2 linked regions of the Saccharomyces cerevisiae S288C genome follow. The gene in region 1 interacts genetically with each later gene. Each region holds a gene or a part of one and is shown on either strand. Other genes may lie near its edges.

Region 1 (3,934 bases):
AAAGCTGCTGATATAAGCTAAGAGCAACGTCAATAAACCAATTAATGGCAGACCAAATTTTTTACACTTAGAATAGGTAGAGGAGGTTGGCTGCTTAGAAGAAGGATACACATCCGGAAGCGGAGCGTGATGAGTCTCTGTCATATAAGCGTTTTAGTATATGGGAGGAATGACAGAGTATAAGCCGTTATGGTATACTACTACGAATACATAATTAAGAATAGGGTTTTAATGTAGTTGCTTGTATATCTTCTATGTTCCCCTTTTTAAGCACCCCTTAGAAAATATATATTGTCGAGGATTTTTCTCCAGAGACCATGAAATGAAAAAGAATCCGAAATATGCACTCCTTCGACCAAGGCTTTAGAGCACCCTCATTTAAAGCCCGACCTGTAGTGCATATGCAAGATTAAGAAAAAGAACAGAGAGAAAAGTCCGCTTTACCATAATGTTAATTTATTCTAAATGCTCTCATTGACTTTTATTTCACCGACCCTGAGTCAAATTTTCGACCATGTTATATACATGCTATTTAGTAATCAAGTGATTAATTTTACCGAACTCAAAGTTGCAGCCGCAGAAAATAGTCATCTGATAATCTTATATATAGATCCGACTTATTAAAGGACATAATTTTCAAAGAATCGGGTACGTGCCTAATGCAATCATGTCGTGTCAATCAACTTCCCCCATACTATATCATTGTTTTACGCCACGTTAATAGGAACCAACGAATTTCTTAAAGCCAATCCTTACTGCTATTTGCAGATGGACTGACGGTTATGCATTCACTAACACCCCAGGTCTTACCGTACCACATATTTAGGTGCAATACTAATCAATTGTCTCTTGAACAGTAACGACGAAAGTATGAACTTCTTATCTATGCTATCTTCAACGTGATAGTTTATGCTACTTTGCAGATGTTTGAGTTAACCTGCTAAAATATATTAAAGCAGCTATAGTTATTTTGAGTTGGTCTATACAACTTCAGGAAAATGTCGTTTGAATATTCCTGCACAACGCTGGGATATTTACAACCAAAGATGCCACTACAAATAATAATGACATGTATATGAGAACATTGCAAACGATTAACGCTGCTCACTTAATGCTATGTAGACTTCAATATATGTCTTTGAAAAACGCTTTTCCACAATCACAGGATAGCAGAGGGATGCCTAGAGGAATACTCCCCGGCTAAAAATGCCTGAGACTGCCCATATATTCCCACGGTAATTATCCATATAATAACGAAATTGAGTTTTCTATAAGTAACATCAGCCCATCACCCATTTATTTGTTCTATAGAATACTATACTCTTTTGCTCCAGTGTCTTACCTCAAGTGGACGCGCTCTCAGTGCCAAATACAGAGACAACAAGGACCTGGAGAGTTGTTCATAACAAAAGTTTCATCATGCCACCAGCGTAATGACAGCCGCAGCAGTGTTTGACCAATTGAACTATGATAAAACTACATTATGGTTTCTGACTATGTCTGTACATCCATGCATCATCTTTTGAAGTTTTTATTTTGATAGCATCCTATTTTGTGACTCTTACTTTACAAGAACGCCAACATAGGGAGTGATTGATATTCTCTGAATTTATCTGGATACAGCCAATGACATCCTGAAATACCTATAGTGACAGTAGCGCATTTCCTGGTCATTTATTAATGGTTTTAGACACAAAATGAAGATAACAGATAATACGAAAGTATCTTAAACTGCAAAGGGGATCTATACGCCACGACTTACTGAACATCTCTGACCAATAGAAGATCCCTCAAGTTTATTAGGCAACTACAGTATGTTATTACAAGAGCATACGCCTGTATTTGGATGGCCAATGAACAAGGAGGATATTTTTTCCACATATAAGTGACCGCCATTAAACAAGACATGTTTGAAATAACCTCCTTCTGTCATACTATGTGCTCACTATTTTCAGAAAATGCGGTTGAAAATCCTCGTCTGCGCAAATTGAAAAAGTCGATATACGTTTCAAGTAACGCAGCCGAAATGCCCGTTTGCCAAGCTTATTATATTTGGAAAAGTGTCAAATTATAGTGCTCGCATCTGGATGTACCGCGCATATTTCTTAGTTAAGCAGGATGTATAACTGCGCATTAATACGTGAGCATTTGCGCAAATTCACTTCTTAAAATCTCTGAAGTACTTCTTCATTATGCACTCGTTTGTTCTCAAGATCATATAAACCATGCCTTTATTACCAATACTAAAAGTTTTTTATTGCAAGTAAAGGGATATTTCAAATTTTTATTTCAAAGTTTATTTATATACATCGATAAATAATAAAATGATTGAAGAAAGAGATTTGGTTTTAAGCAATGGTATCCATTGTATTGCTGACATCCACTCCGAACTATACGCCAGGTTAAAAAAAGAATCGCAGGCAGCGACACCATGGGTGTACCAAAAACAATACGGAAAATTCGTCACTTACTTTGTCGCTGTGATAATTTTTTTGTCTTTGATAAAAAAGCTGGCATTTATGTATTATGATTCCAGTGAGGAATTTCTTCCAGAAAAGAAGAACTCGCCGACTACCCCTTCTGTATTCCTTGCTCGAATAATGACGAAACTTGTCGCATTCAACAGATACATTTGCTACAGGAAATTTCCCACGTTGATATTTTCTTATTTAGGTATTCCGACATCTGTGGGTACTTTTTTAGTAGTAATGGCTACCACTTTATACACACTTCTATACTGCTTTGTTCCTCATCCATTCTACAGACCTTGTGCAGGATTTGGTTCGCCGCCTTTGTCTGTTCGTGCAGGCATAATGGCAATATCTTTGGTTCCGTTTGTATTCTCACTTTCCGGGAAGATCAACGTTATAGGTTGGTTGGTTGGGCTTTCGTATGAAAAAATCAACATATACCACCAATGGGCATCCATTCTTTGTTTATTCTTTAGCTGGGTTCATGTCATTCCCTTCCTACGTCAAGCACGACATGAGGGAGGATATGAAAGAATGCATCAACGGTGGAAGGCATCCGACATGTGGAGGAGTGGTGTCCCACCCATCTTATTTTTGAATCTGCTATGGTTATCTTCGCTGCCTATTGCTAGAAGACATTTTTATGAGATTTTTTTGCAACTTCATTGGATTTTAGCTGTTGGATTTTACATTAGTTTGTTCTATCATGTATATCCCGAATTGAATTCCCATATGTATCTGGTTGCTACAATTGTGGTTTGGTTTGCACAACTGTTTTACAGACTAGCTGTGAAGGGTTATTTAAGACCTGGTAGAAGTTTCATGGCCTCGACCATTGCAAATGTCAGCATAGTCGGCGAAGGATGCGTAGAATTGATCGTCAAAGATGTGGAAATGGCCTATTCCCCAGGTCAACACATATTCGTGAGAACTATTGATAAGGGCATCATTTCCAACCATCCATTTTCTATCTTTCCGAGTGCAAAGTATCCCGGAGGAATAAAAATGCTGATTAGAGCCCAGAAAGGGTTTTCTAAAAGGCTATACGAAAGTAATGACGACATGAAGAAAATTCTTATTGATGGGCCTTATGGTGGAATCGAGAGAGATATTAGAAGTTTTACCAATGTCTACTTGATTTGCTCTGGTTCAGGTATATCTACATGCTTACCTTTCCTGCAAAAATATGGCCCCATACTCCATAAGACAAACTTAGAAGTTATTACATTGGACTGGGTGGTAAGACATAGGGAGGATATATCATGGATTAGAGATGAAATGTGTACCCTCTCAAATAATTTGCGCCAGTTATTTTTAGATGGGAAAATTGTGGTTAGAATTTACGTCTGCTCGGACAGTACCGTCCCTGGTATTATTAAAACTTTCCCTCAAACAATAGACACCGCCAGTGACCAATCTGATTTAGCTAAAAGAGAAAAAGATACCGAATTCGGCCAGGATGA
Region 2 (3,934 bases), on another chromosome or scaffold:
TGAATTTATTTTGGTACGGCGTTACGGTGATTTGTTCAACATGCGCCGTAAATTGGCCCTTTTCGATAATATCGGGTGAATTTTCCCAATCTATGAGGCCACCTGCCCAGTTTATTGTACCGGGTCCGTTGGTTTCCGAGCCGCCTGGCCAAACAGCGATTTCTAGTCTCATCGGCGTTTGTGGGTACCTATATTCTTTACTAATGGGGTCCCAGGTATCCTTCTTCAGGACTGTGCGAGCTATTTTACCATCAACATACCATATTATCCTATCCGGGTCCCAATCAATCTCATAAGTGTGGTAAGTGGCCCAAGTGTCAGCGCCTACGGGAAATCTTTGCATTCTTGTGTAATCCAAATGCCCTTGAGAATAGTAGTTTGATTGGGCCGTCATTAAATCACCACCCAGCCACTCAAAATCAATCTCGTCCCCAATTGCGGATGTTAAGTCAAATGCAGTCACCACACCCCTCGACCTCGCCGTTTTCATTCGCACGCTTGCCTTGCCGTATAGAAACGACCTGGTCGATGTGATCAAACTTCCGGTAGTTTTTTTTGGCATAGCCAGAACAATATTCCCGCTACTCGCTTCAATTGATGTGTAGCCGCTATGTGTGAAATCGAAATCTTCCAACATTTTCTCTGCCTCTTTACTGTCTGGAGTGACCAAGAATTTGGCGTAGTGTATGATTCTCTTGGAATTTAGCTCCCCTTCTACTACACCCACCTTGGTATTTGCCTTATTCGGTCCATTTCCCTCTCTTATTGGTGGCTTAGGTTGATAGTTCACAATAAATTTAGGAACCTTTGGTGTGCTAACAAATTCAAGTTTTTGACTGGCGACTAATGCAGGTATAGGAGCACAGCTTTCCTCGTCGAAAGATGACCTCACGTTGCAGCCACCGACACATATCGGTCCAGCGCCACATTCATTATACGGCGAGCAGCACGGCCATTCTGCGGGACAAGGGTTATTTGGAGAACAAGAAATGGAGTTTTTGGGTTTGTATAATTCTCCCAGTGCAAATCCGATGTAGCCAACAACCGGCACCAGCTGTAATATTGATATTCTCATATTTTTATTTCGTGCAAAAGCCCTTGATGATACTCTAAACTAAACGACTGTTCTTGTATTTCGTTATTAATCGATAATTATTAGCTGGTATTGTCTTTTTTTTTTTTTTCCTACATGATCGTCGCGAGGCTTTACATAATTTTTGTGACGCCTTTAAAAGTATAGTAGAACGAGCACATAAGAAGTAAATGAAAAGTACGGCAGATGCAATTGACAGTAAAGAGCGGTACAATAGTTGAAGAATACCCGATAAAAATGTATTTAGGTTGCTTGACGGGTTTGCAGCAATTGCCAAGAACACTAACTGTGGCAATCTTGGTGAGAATCTACTCCCAACCCAAACATTTTCGCCGATATTTTTGCTCACCTTTTTTTTTTGCTCATCGAAAATTGTTATAGCGGCTCGACTTTGATTTACTAATACACCCAATTTCTAATATCCTCAAGGCTAGATCGTTCTCTCAAGGAACTTAAAGTGCCTGATCTTGCGATGATTAATCTACAGCGATGGATACTTAAATCATGTAAAAATCTCAGTTTTGAAGTCGTTTGCTCTCTTCCATGCTTCAGTTCCCTTTTGGAAGGTAATATAATCATCTAATTTCTCGCATATTCACGCCGACGGAAGAACGAGCCGGATCAATATGGTTAGAACCCGTGTATTATTCTGCTTATTTATATCTTTTTTTGCTACGGTTCAATCGAGTGCTACACTTATTAGCACTTCATGTATTTCCCAAGCTGCGCTATACCAATTTGGATGTTCTAGTAAATCTAAAAGTTGCTACTGTAAAAACATCAATTGGCTGGGTTCAGTGACAGCATGTGCCTATGAGAATTCCAAATCTAACAAAACACTAGACAGCGCCTTAATGAAGTTAGCATCCCAATGTTCAAGCATCAAAGTTTATACTTTAGAGGACATGAAGAATATTTATTTAAATGCGTCAAATTATTTGAGAGCACCTGAGAAAAGTGATAAAAAAACCGTGGTTAGTCAACCGCTCATGGCGAACGAGACAGCGTATCATTATTATTATGAGGAAAATTATGGTATCCATCTTAACCTAATGCGCTCTCAATGGTGCGCTTGGGGTCTCGTCTTCTTCTGGGTGGCTGTGCTTACTGCAGCCACTATCTTGAACATTCTGAAAAGGGTGTTTGGTAAGAACATCATGGCAAACTCCGTCAAAAAATCACTTATTTATCCTTCTGTTTACAAAGATTATAATGAACGAACTTTTTATTTATGGAAGCGTCTACCATTTAATTTTACAACTCGAGGCAAGGGTCTCGTCGTATTAATTTTTGTTATTTTGACTATATTATCTCTCAGTTTTGGTCATAATATTAAACTTCCACACCCATATGATAGGCCCAGATGGAGAAGAAGTATGGCCTTTGTGAGTCGTAGAGCAGACTTGATGGCCATTGCACTTTTCCCAGTAGTCTATCTATTCGGAATAAGAAATAATCCCTTCATCCCTATAACAGGGCTTTCCTTTTCTACATTTAATTTCTATCATAAATGGTCTGCCTACGTTTGTTTCATGTTGGCCGTTGTACACTCAATTGTCATGACCGCCTCGGGAGTGAAAAGAGGTGTGTTTCAAAGTCTGGTTAGGAAATTTTACTTTAGGTGGGGTATAGTGGCAACGATATTAATGTCTATTATTATTTTCCAAAGTGAAAAAGTATTTAGAAATAGAGGGTATGAGATATTCCTTCTTATTCATAAAGCGATGAATATTATGTTCATTATTGCCATGTACTACCATTGTCACACCCTGGGCTGGATGGGTTGGATTTGGTCAATGGCTGGTATTTTATGCTTTGATAGATTCTGCAGGATTGTTAGAATAATCATGAATGGTGGCTTGAAAACTGCTACTTTGAGTACCACTGATGATTCTAATGTTATTAAAATTTCAGTAAAAAAACCAAAGTTTTTCAAGTACCAAGTAGGAGCTTTCGCATACATGTATTTCTTATCACCAAAAAGTGCATGGTTCTATAGTTTCCAATCACATCCATTTACAGTATTATCGGAACGACACCGTGATCCAAACAATCCAGATCAATTGACGATGTACGTAAAGGCAAATAAAGGTATCACTCGAGTTTTGTTATCGAAAGTTCTAAGTGCTCCAAATCATACTGTTGATTGTAAAATATTCCTTGAAGGCCCATATGGTGTAACGGTTCCACATATCGCTAAGCTAAAAAGAAATCTGGTAGGTGTAGCCGCTGGTTTGGGTGTTGCGGCTATTTATCCGCACTTTGTCGAATGTTTACGGTTACCATCTACTGATCAACTTCAGCATAAATTTTACTGGATTGTTAATGACCTATCCCATTTGAAATGGTTTGAAAATGAATTGCAATGGTTAAAGGAGAAAAGTTGTGAAGTCTCAGTCATATATACTGGTTCCAGTGTTGAGGACACAAATTCAGATGAGAGTACAAAAGGTTTTGATGATAAAGAAGAAAGCGAAATCACTGTTGAATGTCTCAATAAAAGACCTGATTTGAAAGAACTAGTGCGCTCGGAAATAAAACTCTCAGAACTAGAGAATAATAATATTACCTTTTATTCCTGCGGGCCAGCAACGTTTAACGACGATTTTAGAAATGCAGTGGTCCAAGGTATAGACTCTTCCTTGAAGATTGACGTTGAACTAGAAGAAGAAAGTTTTACATGGTAAGGCCCCTTGTTAATAATTCTTGCACGCATACTTTTGTTATTTTGTTGCTTTATCGGATAAAAGTTAATATAAATCGATGTAAATAATTTTATATAATCATACAACAGGGTAATAAAAAGACGAATATATTCAAATGCGGGTTCTAAATCTAAGT

Evidence for each region.
Region 2: of FRE7 (region 1) and FRE1, extra expression of one rescues a mutant of the other (dosage rescue), as found in Saccharomyces cerevisiae (one study listed by BioGRID).

What each region holds. Positions count from the first base shown.
Region 1 is NC_001147.6:38,424-42,357, forward strand, and holds the start of FRE7 (putative ferric-chelate reductase), read left to right. Parts: upstream 1-2,324; coding exon 2,325-3,934. UniProt on the Saccharomyces cerevisiae protein: Cell surface metalloreductase. May be involved in copper homeostasis.
Region 2 is NC_001144.5:566,848-570,781, forward strand, and holds FRE1 (ferric/cupric-chelate reductase), read left to right. Parts: upstream 1-1,719; coding exon 1,720-3,780; downstream 3,781-3,934. Other genes in the region: CRR1 (putative glycosylase), read right to left, coding at 1-1,075; cell proliferation protein CDC123, read right to left, coding at 3,929-3,934.